2 linked regions of the Drosophila melanogaster genome follow. The protein of the gene in region 1 interacts with the protein of each later gene in a pairwise test. Each region holds a gene or a part of one and is shown on either strand. Other genes may lie near its edges.

Evidence for each region. Proteins that work in one complex are often made in the same cells at the same time.
Region 2: the proteins of Alh (region 1) and Sar1 interact in a two-hybrid assay, tested with the Drosophila melanogaster proteins (one large-scale study listed by BioGRID).

The regions. Positions count from the first base shown.
Region 1 is NT_033777.3:7,121,070-7,126,148, forward strand, and holds the start of Alh (alhambra), read right to left. Parts: upstream 3,117-5,079; 5' UTR 2,870-3,116; coding exon 2,835-2,869; intron 2,670-2,834; exon of another isoform or gene 2,571-2,669; intron 685-2,570; coding exon 206-684; intron 70-205; coding exon 1-69. Other genes in the region: CG10098 (uncharacterized protein), read left to right, coding at 3,591-3,737, 3,806-3,993, 4,350-5,076.
Region 2 is NT_033777.3:22,355,123-22,361,211, reverse strand, and holds Sar1 (Secretion-associated Ras-related 1), read right to left. Parts: upstream 4,528-6,089; 5' UTR 4,414-4,527; exon of another isoform or gene 4,165-4,413; intron 3,696-4,164; exon of another isoform or gene 3,682-3,695; 5' UTR 3,584-3,681; coding exon 3,541-3,583; intron 2,841-3,540; coding exon 2,721-2,840; intron 2,650-2,720; coding exon 2,584-2,649; intron 1,688-2,583; coding exon 1,452-1,687; intron 1,376-1,451; coding exon 1,259-1,375; 3' UTR 501-1,258; downstream 1-500. Other genes in the region: JMJD6 (jumonji domain containing 6), read left to right, coding at 1-143; rdhB (retinol dehydrogenase B), read right to left, coding at 5,087-5,263, 5,385-5,520.

The DNA of each region.
Region 1 (5,079 bases):
TGTTGCACTGCATACAGGCGCCAACATTGGCACGATTTGGTTTGCCAATTTCCTGGCAAATATAGCAAGCTGAAAATGGAAACGGATTGTAATTAATTATTGCCATTTAGCTAAGGCTAGTTTAACAAACAGGGGTTATAATTTTTCAATGAGTAACATTTTTTAAATAATATATGTAAATATAAAACATTTAAACATAGCTTACTCTTCGAGTACCGCTCCTGCGGTATTAATGACAATATGATGGGCTCCATGGTGGTCACATTCCCAAATCGCACCTCTGGGATGTACAGGGCGCAAACAACGTGCGCCCACCCGCTATTATCCGTCTTCTTAAGGGCGCCATCCCGCGAGGGACATAGTTCGCATCGGACGCGAGAGGTTCGCTCCTGGGACTCGCACTTGCGACAGTACCAGGGTCCAGTGGGAACCGTCACAATGCCATAGCACGCCTGGTGCACTGCCACAGTACAGTTCTGGCCGTCACAGTAGACGAGCGGGTTCTCCGGCCACCCCCGCTCGTCTGAACAAACGCAACAGCCGCCCACCATCTCCTTCATATCGTCCAACTTGAACTTTTTAATCTTGACCAGCTTCTTGTTCAAGCTTGTGGAGTGAATGGTGTCGTCTTTGCTGGAGTCTAGCTCCAGTTTCGCATTGAATGAAGACGGAATTTTGTTGGAGCTGCAAGTATATATATATATATATATATATATATATATATATATATATATATATATATATATAATATAAGAATTTTCCTTAAGTAAAAAGAGGATTTTTAAAACTCAATATATTTGGGTCCAATTAACGTTACCAGAGGAGCGTTGAAAGTTGAGCGAAAAGTTGAACATACATAAGTATGATGCACTTACGAATCTTCTGAATTTTATTTGTAATAGTATTTCTAATAAAAACAACGACTTTTTACCAAATTTGTATGGAATTAGCAGTAAAATTTATAAGAAATTTATTTGTTCAGCTTTCCTTATCAAGAAAATAAGCATGCTCTTTACTTTTTTCTTTCACATTTTTGTAATAATTTAAAGAACGTAGAGTCTATATAAAACATTTTTTATCAGAGCTCCGCTCCACCCCGCTCGAAGTCGACGATCTTGAGATAGAGGTTCCGGCCTTTCTCGTTATCGATAATATGCTGCTATCGAGGCAGGTGTCTATTGGCAAGGTCATTCGCACTCGGTTTTTCCACAATAACATCAACAAAAACAGTAGCCCTATAAAATATTATACCTAATTGTGCGCTTGTATTTACAACTTGGCCTTCGAAGCGAGAGCGAGAGAGATGGCACATGGAGCCCCGTTCGCAGAACATTTACACGCACACACAAATAATCTCTCAATGTCAAGGTAATTTTGCCGCTGCTTAATAATACATGCTAATTATGTATGTCGAATCATTTAAATAAAGACGGCCGAAAATATAAACAGCTATGCCACCGAATATTGATAGGAGGTTTTAGCACAGCAATACGAACAACAAATATTTTTAACTTTCACAAAACGGGCAACGCACACACAAACACTCTCTTCTGCGGCATTCCGTGGGCTGGTGTTGGTTCATTGAACCTGATTTAAATGGGCTACCAAAAATAAAACAGGAAAATGCAGCCCTGCCCCGAATCCAATTGGATGTCGATTTGGTCCCAATGTGCGATCGAACGCAAATATGTGGGTCGCGGAGATTTCACAACAACAACGGCAATTATTATAATAATAATAATAACGGCATGCGGGTGCTGTTTCTGTTTCATTCATGCATGCGCATCTGTGCGAGAGATCGCGGCGGAGGAGAGTGCGGGTCTAGTTGTACCGTTATTGGGTCAGCGTGTTGCCAACTGCCGAAAAAGAAAAACGCAGCCAGCGTGTTGCCAACAGCGGGTTAGCTGGAGTTCTCTAACTTAACGGTGTAAAATCACACACACTTGGCCATATGAAACGAGGCCGCTCTGCACGTTGCTTTTGTAATGAAGAGCAATGCACTTTCGACACAAGCAAACACACACTGTCGTCAGGCAGAACAGATACATACACACGCACGCGGGGAGATGCTACATTAATGTTGACGAAATGCCGGAAAAGGGGGCGCGCTTTTGGGGGGTGGAATACGGGTGGGTGTGTGTACATGTATATATGTACCCCATTTAAAACATCCTTCGGGGGAGTTTTTGGGGACTGGAGGGTAGTTTCTCCCAGTTTCCGCAACTCGTCTCTTAAAGCACTGCTTAAATTTCCTTCAAATTGTGTGTATACCCGTGGCTTGAATTTATTGATTTTTATGGGCAATTGCTTTAATTTCACTGGCCAGCAGGGCTTTAAAACGTCATCAGCGGTGTGCCACCAAACAAAAAGAAACTAGTTTCACGGCGGGGAAAATGCGCGCGGTCAAAGTCGTCAAGCAACGCACAACAAAAACAGAAAATATCTATTTTTTTCAGGGAGCGGTCTATCGAAAACTTGAAATTCTTTCGACTTTCTTGCTATTTTCACGCAGAGGTTTCTTATTGGCCGCTAGCACCCTCACAGAATATTGATTTTCTAAATTTCTTTACCCAATTTGGCACTTTAAATAAATGGTTTCCAGCCCGCAGCTGTGGGTTAGCGTTTATCTAGCTTTTCGTGGCTTTTCTCAGCACTTTTCCGCGTCTCACAGTCTTCACAGCCGCCCACGAGTAGCAAACGCACGCAAGTAAAATAATCAACACTCAAAAAAGGCGCTGAACAACACCATCCACCAGCGCAACAACAACACTGTGTGCGCGAGTATTTACAACTACAGCTACAACAACACCAGCAGCACACACCACTCCACACACCTTGTAACTTGTTTGTTGTTGTTTCGCTCGCACATCGGGAGCGAGCAGTGCGGGCGCGAGAGGGAGACAACACCACCTGCTCTGTATACAAATGCAGCTTAGTGGATACAATTTTGCTGGATGCGCGGTTTTTCCAATTGCCCGAATATCGCGAAAAGCTTGCAATTCCGAGACGTTCCGCGTTTTCCTTCTATGCAGACAGGTTTTTGAGCATTTTAACGCCGAAACAAGAAAAACCTCGGTTACCAGACGAATGGGCAGATTTCTAGCGATGGGTACTTTATCAGAGAAGGGTAAAATGCTTAGAGATGGGATGCGACTTGTCTGCATTTTTCCAGATTCAAAGGAAAACCCGATATTCATTATAACTTCCCTCTCTTATTCAATGCTGCTAATTATGGTGTAAATGAAGGTTGTAATTTAAGTAAATCGAATTCTTATTGGTGTTGGATCATAGTATTGTCAACATTAATGCTCGTCATTTAAATAATGGAGATGTATAAGGAAATATTTTATATATAGAACACTAAAATACCTAATCCTTATAGTTCTTTTAGAATTCTCCATACTAAACAAATAAATAACGTCCGATGTTGCCAGACGAGTCAACGGCTCATCGCCACGGTTCATTTCCACGATATATATTGGGCAGTGTTGAATAACGTTTGAACCTTAAACAGCTGTGGGAAAAATCAATTTTGCAACTCCCTCGCGCACTTCTGAAGAAACTTCTTCGCGAGAAAAGCACGGATAAAAATGACCAACGGTGACTGCTTTGTTGTTCTGCCCGAGAACTGTGCCGAAGGAACTTTGATCATCGGTCGCAATGCGGAGGACGAAAAAAACGTCAACGTTGCTTCGGAGGTTTGCTTCTACGATGCCACCGAAGTGCTTGAGGGGAAGGTAAAGACAGACTCCTCCGAAAACGAAGCTCGATCAATGACTCACCACCCAAACACCTCACATTTCAGACTGACGGTGGAGCTTCTGCCGAGACAGGCGGCGATATGTTGCGTGTTATATTGCAAAAACCGCAGCCGGGTCTCTGGGGTGGGGACTTCGGGGCCAATGAACGCGGAGTGGCCCTAGGTCTTACCTGGGCGGCAGGTGAAAACGAGGCCAAGGACAGCGACAGCCTGCTGGGCACGGATATAGTGCGGTAAGTTCTCTTTCAATATCTGCGTATCAACAAACTATGCACAACAAAGCAAATTATTTGCACTTAATATAAATAACTTTCATCACTAAAAATGTATGTACATATGAAGTCTATATAATGCAGAACGTAAATACTTATTCAAAGGATGACATTTTGTGGCTGATGTTTGTAATTAGCATTCCAATCCTTTCGTGTCCTTTAGGGCTTATTAATGCTTGAAGATACTATTATTTCAACATTATTTCATAAGTTAATTAAAAACGAATCAATCAGAAATTTAATGTTGTCGAGAAACTAAGGCTTTTACAATTATTATAAATCATGAAATAATAAATCATCTAATAACTTTTTTGTAGCTTGACTTTGGCTGTCGCCAAAGATGTGGACGATGCTGTAGACCGGATTGGAGCTTTGGTGGCCAGTCACGGTCACGACAACTCCAAACTAAACTTCATCGCTTGCGATGCAGCTGCTGCCTGGCTTGTGAGTTGCTCTGGCAAGGTATGGGCCGCTGAGAAATTGGAGGCCAGCTTCTTGCGTTTGCCCTCCGGAGGACTGGCTGTGACCACTGTGGTGAACAAGTCAAGCGAGGGATTAGATGACGCTGCCAGTTTTGCCGCTGCTCACGATGCAGAGGCCCAGGCCCCGGCAGTGGATTGGTGTGGTCCCAAGCCAGCTGGCGATGGAACATATACCCAGCACGACATGTTCGAGACGCTGCGATCCGCCAGTAATGCGAGCAGCTCGAGGGCGGCTACCGTTTCGGTGCTGTCGGTGAAGGGAATCTCATGCCATTGGTTCACCGGGACGCCCAATGCCGCCGAGTCTGTGTTTAAGCCGTTCGTTTTTGCCCCAAATCCGAGGATCTCGCCGCTAACCCAAGTGCAAGCGGAAGCGGACTTGACGTTGCTGCACAAGCTACACTCGCAACGCAAGCCGGCCGCCTTGGAGCACTTGCGCAGCTTGGAGCTCTCCTGCGTGGACGAGCTAAATAACTATTTCTCTCTGCAGGATCACGCCAGTGACGAGCTGGACGAACTGCTCAAGGACTGTGTCGAGGCGGAAGTCAAGTTCTATCGCTAGACC
Region 2 (6,089 bases), about 15 Mb from region 1:
CGGAGGAGGAGGAGAGCGACGATGGCGGCGATTCCAACACGGACAGCGGCCAGGAGAGTCTGACGGCCAAGAAGAAAAAGAAGCGGCGCATGGCTGGCGGCGGCTCCGGGTCCGGCTCCATGGGCGGATCATCGCGTTCCTGATCCAGGGAGCGGGCCAAGCGCAAGGGCTTGCTCATGCGCCTCTTTCAACGCCAACTGATGCTGCTGAGAGGACTGCCCCGCCGCTGCCGGCTCAGTTAGCACTGAGGTCGCGATCATACTCTGCAGAGTTTTGTGTATTTTTCTACTTGGACCAGCATGTTTGCAGCTCCTGGATCCCGTGCTCGCCCTCATCGAATGCCTGCTCCCTGATTTCAATAGATGCTCCGGACGTGACTCATTAGCGTAAACCCTAAATGCAAATAAATAAATGAATCCAATATGTTTGTACATCGCTGGGTTTCATTCAAGCTCGGCACATAAATCCAATGCAAAACAACAATAGTCACCAATTTATGTATTTTACAAAATTACTTTTCTCCGTTTTATTTAGAATTCTGTCTGCAAACAAAAATGCTTTTTTATATAAATTGCTTTCCCTTTCGTATTGTATAAAAGAAACAAAGTACATCGATGACATGCAACTTAAAATTTTTAGCTAAACTAAGGTGTACCATTTATCGGAGGTCGAATCCTTATAGGGATGTACATAATGTTTTGCGGCCAAAGTAAACTATTTAGGAAATCAATAGCGACATTTACAATTCATAAACTTGAAATAAAGGTAGGTGGCTACATTTTATTGGCGAAACAGCGTTCGTTGAAAGCACATGCTCTTAAATAAATCACCTTTAATTTGCTATAATTTGTTACTCATAATTATTATTAAAAGTTTCCCTTGCGCACTCCGCGCATCCTTCAGCTCCTTACAATGTATCCCGATGTTCCAGATAGAAAAGTTGTCTTCACTTTGATGTTGTGTTCTGTTTTTCCCGCGATTTCTTGTGTGTTACAGATGTACATTGTATGGTTTTCTGTTTTTTTTTTTTTATTATTATGAAATATTTGTAATTGTTTTGTATAAATTAGAAATTGCGCACGCAGCTTCGTTTTGCTTAAGGTCTGACGGTTTGAATTGGGCTGGGTTCACATCCCTTGGGTTCTGTTCTTTCTGCGGTCTCTAATCATTTTTGGAAATTTTGTAGCCAAGTTTTCGGTTTTGAGTGTTGAGTGGTGTTCTTGAAAATATGGTGCTGGTGGTGGTTGCTAATGCTGACTTAATCGATATACTGCGCCAGCCAACGGAAACCCTCGCCGTAGCCCTGTCGCTTCAGCACGGAGCACATGAACAATTCCAGAGGACGGCCGGGCAAATCGGCGCGTGCAACTTTGCCCTGCAAGTCAAATGGATATCAATTATGTAGCAGGAGTAAGGAGGGAGGGAGGGAGGGAGGTGGTTTTGGTGCTCACCTTGCCGGTTGTTAGCTGATACAGTCCGAACACGTTTCTCAGCTCATCCTCGCTAGCCGCGCCGGGCTTATCGATTTTGTTGCCCAATATGAGCACGGGGCAGTTGGACAGCGCCTCATCCGTGAGCAGCGAATCCAGCTCGTTTTTGCTCTCCTGGAAGCGGCCACGGTCCCAGGCGTCTATTAAGAAAACGATGGCGTCCACAGCAGGGAAGTAGTCCTTCCAGACGCGTCGTGCTGCAGAAATAAGTAGATATGTCTCATAAATACAAAAGCAGCAGTTAGTCTTTAGATGGGTTAGTCTTCCGATTTTTGAATCAAGATTTGCAAGGGCACCTTAGTAGTCGCTGCTGTTGACCAACAATCTGTAATTTATATAACATCGCTAGAATAACAAAGCGCAAGTCACTGATATCAGGCACAAATCTGATATCTTTCCGCCGCTAAGAACCTTTCTACTTTAGTGTACCTAGTAGTTCCGAAGCGAAAACGATCGTCACGATGACGAGCTGCCTTAAAATGAGTGCTAGAGCTTCGTTATCAAAACAACTGGATTTCACGATGTTTGATCACTTTTCATAATGTTCATATTTATATACATATATCAACTGCATGTATGCGAGTTTTTCGTTTCTGTTTGTTATCTACATAGAGAATGTTTGCCTTCATAATATTAATAATAAATACGTCGCCTATATGTGCACAGTGGTAAGGAAGATAGTATTTGCGAAAATCAACAAGACACTAATTGCTTTCTAAACATAAATGAACATATTGATTGTATGCAATGGGTTAAATATTCTAGTATTCTGAGGTCTTCATAATCACAGTTGAGATAAGATGATAATTGAGATCTCTGGATGAGCTGCTTGTGACCACTGTGGTGGCATTGCTTCGAGTGTGTGGCGCTGATTGATCGCAACAAATGCTACGAGTGTAAGACGCACTGGCTGTATGGGTGACCTGATGCGCTATATTTCATGCTGATTGTCGTGGATCTGGCGGCTGCGCTTGCTTAGCCCTGCGATATTTGCATACTGGTCTATATTTAGTCGTGGGCACGTACGGAAAATAGCAACGATTTGGATGCACATTCACATTCCCCTGAGCTCTGGTCAAGATTAGGCACTTACCCTGAGTGTGGCCACCCAAGTCGAATGTAGTGAAGCGCATGTTGCCGATGGACAGCTCCTCGGATGCTGCAAGTCAATCATATTAGTTAATTAAAGTCACACACATAACCACTATTTAGTCCATGAAGGAAACTCACTTGGATGCAGTGTGGGCACATGCTGCGCCAGCTTATCATCTTTGAGCATATGCAAGAGTGTGGTTTTGCCAGCATTATCCAGGCCCAGGAACAATAATTTGCCAGACTTTTTCCACAGACCTGAAAACGAGAAAGTGTGTTGAATAGCCTTTTGACTTACGCGTCATCAATTAATATACGCAGCTAAACTAACACTAGTGGCGGCTCACTTGTGTTTGCCCAGCCACAGACAGCCGAATATACATTTGAGGTCGAGACAATAGCTCTTGGACTTCGGGCTAATTATTACCTTTGCTACCCAAAATGTTCGGCTATCATTAACCTGATTAAAGATCAAGCTATAACAAAAATGCGCTTATAACAACTGCTATCAGTTTGGCCTGCACTGTAGAACAGTACTTTTCGTATGGAATAATTTTAACTTTTAGCATTACAAAGCAAATAAAAGTGTAGCAGCCATCTGGAAGCGAGGAAAACCCTATCAAAAATGTCTGCTTAAATAATTGTGGCTGAAGAGTACATGGCTATGCAATCAAAATACCTTTTACAGAAGTGTATATTGTATATGCACCCTAGAGTAATGCATATTCAACGCGCATTTGTTGTGATAGAGAGACCTAATGGAAAGTTATAAGCTTTCGACACCTTATAGACACAGTTTAACCTCTAGATTTCGAGATAATCGCACGTTTAGAGCTATCACCACGACCTCCGCTGTACAGCCGTCGAATTTGGGTTTCTTTTGTGCGGCTGCCTTGTTGGCACTCGTTCAAGAAACGCCGCCCCAAGGCACAAGGTCGGCAATGGCGACGTTGCTTACCCAGGTATCCCAGCACTCCGGTGAACCAGTCCCAGATGAACATCCTGATGGTTTCGTGTGGCTATCGGTTGCGGGTGATTGGCTCCAAGAGCAGCTTGTGTGTGTTTATTGTGGGGGGAAGAGAGCTGCTGGGCTAGACGGCTGCCGGATCGAAAAGAGATATGGCATGGATAATGGGTTAGTGCGCATTTCGACTCAAGTTCAATGTCCAGCCACAGAAACACAATAAGAACAACAGCAGCGGCAGCAACAGCGGCTTGGTGTATAGGAAATCAATTTTACGGCGGCTCAACTTCCGGAACCTTGACACACATACAACAACACGCACACTCGAGCGGCGGGGACCTTGCGGATATAAGGAAGCAAATTCCTCCTGGCGGCGAAACATTCACTTGGGCCCATTATTTAGTTAATTAGGTTAAAACCTGTTCTTTGTCAACTGGGCAGCACTTTCTTTATTTCATTCTTTCTCTGCCTCCTGCCCTCTCGCTCGCTCACTGTCTGTGTGTGTGTGTGAGTGGCACTGGGTGTGCGCGTGTGTGTGCGTGTGCTGCCTGTCTGTGTGCAACTACGTGGTAACATGCATTATATTATACTTTATAATATCATTTCACGTTGGAGCACATTTCGTAATCACACTTTGGACGGCAGGTGCACGCCGATCTAAGCCGCACCCTCGAAAAAAGCATAAAAAGGGCGCAGACATCCGGACTTCCGATTCGAATTCGAATTGAGATTCGGATTTTGCACTACGTGGACGCATTTCGGAATTTAACTGCCCGCGGCTGCGGGTAGCTTGCGTTTGATATGGACTTTTACTTGCGCACTTGCTGTTGCCGCCGCGCGTTCGTATCGGTATTGGCGGCTGGTTACCGTGCGTCTGCTGTGTGTATTAATTGTCAACCTAATTCGCTTTTTCTACCTCACGTTTTTATTGGAGTCAGTTCAGTTTTTTTTAATCATAAGCCCCAGTGTGACCAATAAGCGAAAGCTGTGAAATATCGATGTTTGTTTCGTACCATCGATTTTGGGGGTAGCACGAGTAATCGATGTTTTGGTGGATAACTCTGCTAGAGCGAAGCGAGCCAAATCAAGAGTGGTTGTTGTACTCGCTAGCGATAGCTGTACAGCCCTGGTCTTTTGACTCAATCTGGCAGCCCTACCGCAAGGTGGCAACTCCACTACATGCGCGGGCAATTCCAATTCAAATGAATGAATGTATAAATGCATTCATAATGTTGCCAAACTATTTACACGCATTTAATGTTATATCGATTAGAGAATATGCAAAATATTATAAATGTTTAATTATCGTTTTATTGCATTTTTATGTTATTTGTAATAAGATGTTAATACAGATGTTATCTACAGATAACATCTTAAAGAATATAAAGTGTCGAAACAGTTGCTTGAAATGCAATAATGTAATTTTTTATATTTAAAAATATGTACATTTGTTCTCTTATTACATAGAAGAACATATACAAAATGTACAAATAATATCGTTTTGGGTAAAATGTAATTCTCTTGAAATTCAAACTAAAATTCAATCGACCTTCCGCATCTGCTGCAGGATGATGTCCTCCACCTGGACGCCATCGGGAGTGTTCAGCGCATACAACACGGCCTTGGCCACATCCCTTGCCTGCAGTTTGGGCAGCTCGGCTACCGCCTGCGAGTAAACACTAAGGAAATCCGTGTCTACCATGCCCGGGCAAATGCTCTGCAATGGAGGGATAAAAATGGAGAGGGTAACCAATGAGCAGACGCGTCATGTTTGCCGCATTTCCCGAGGATTAAGATGGAGGATGAGGCGCGCCATGTATGCACTGCATTTAACTTACCGTTAATTTAATATTTAATTTGAGAAAATGTATTTCCTGGCGCACCGTTTGGCAGAGGGCCGTAATTGCATGCTTCGTGGCCGGATAAACGCTGAATAAGGGCACCGGCACTTCCGGAATCCGATGGCCAAGCACGCTGTTGTCAAATGTTGTCCATACACATGTCCAGAGCAGAGCGAAGGAGGAGGCGGAGGAGTAGCATGAGCATCGTCCACATGCCAAGGTATGGCGGTGCGTCGGGGATGGAAAATAAAGACAAAGCGGGGTCACAAACGGCGGGTGTGCGTGGGTAAATAAAGTCAACACAACGGATTTCAAGCACTTAAAACGGCAACAAAAAACAAGTCGCCGTCGAACACCTACGGAAAATGATGGTCAGCAGCTGACGGGACATTTTTGCGTGCATTTTATGCAAACATTGCGTAAACTTCTTTTAATTTTACCCCCACACCTGACGAAAAAGCAAGAAAAGACTTAAAAACTTGTGCTATAATATTTTGATTGAATGCGAAATTTTTGGAAAAATAAGGGAATTATAAGTTACAACTAGTTTTTATATTTGCTACAAGATATTTAATTTAATTAAACTGATATTTTTATGAAGGCATTCATTCGAGTATCCTTTTTTTCGAGTGCATTTGGAAGAGCACGGGGTGGTACTTACGGCTCTGAGCCGGGGGCATTAAATGCAAACAATTGCCAACG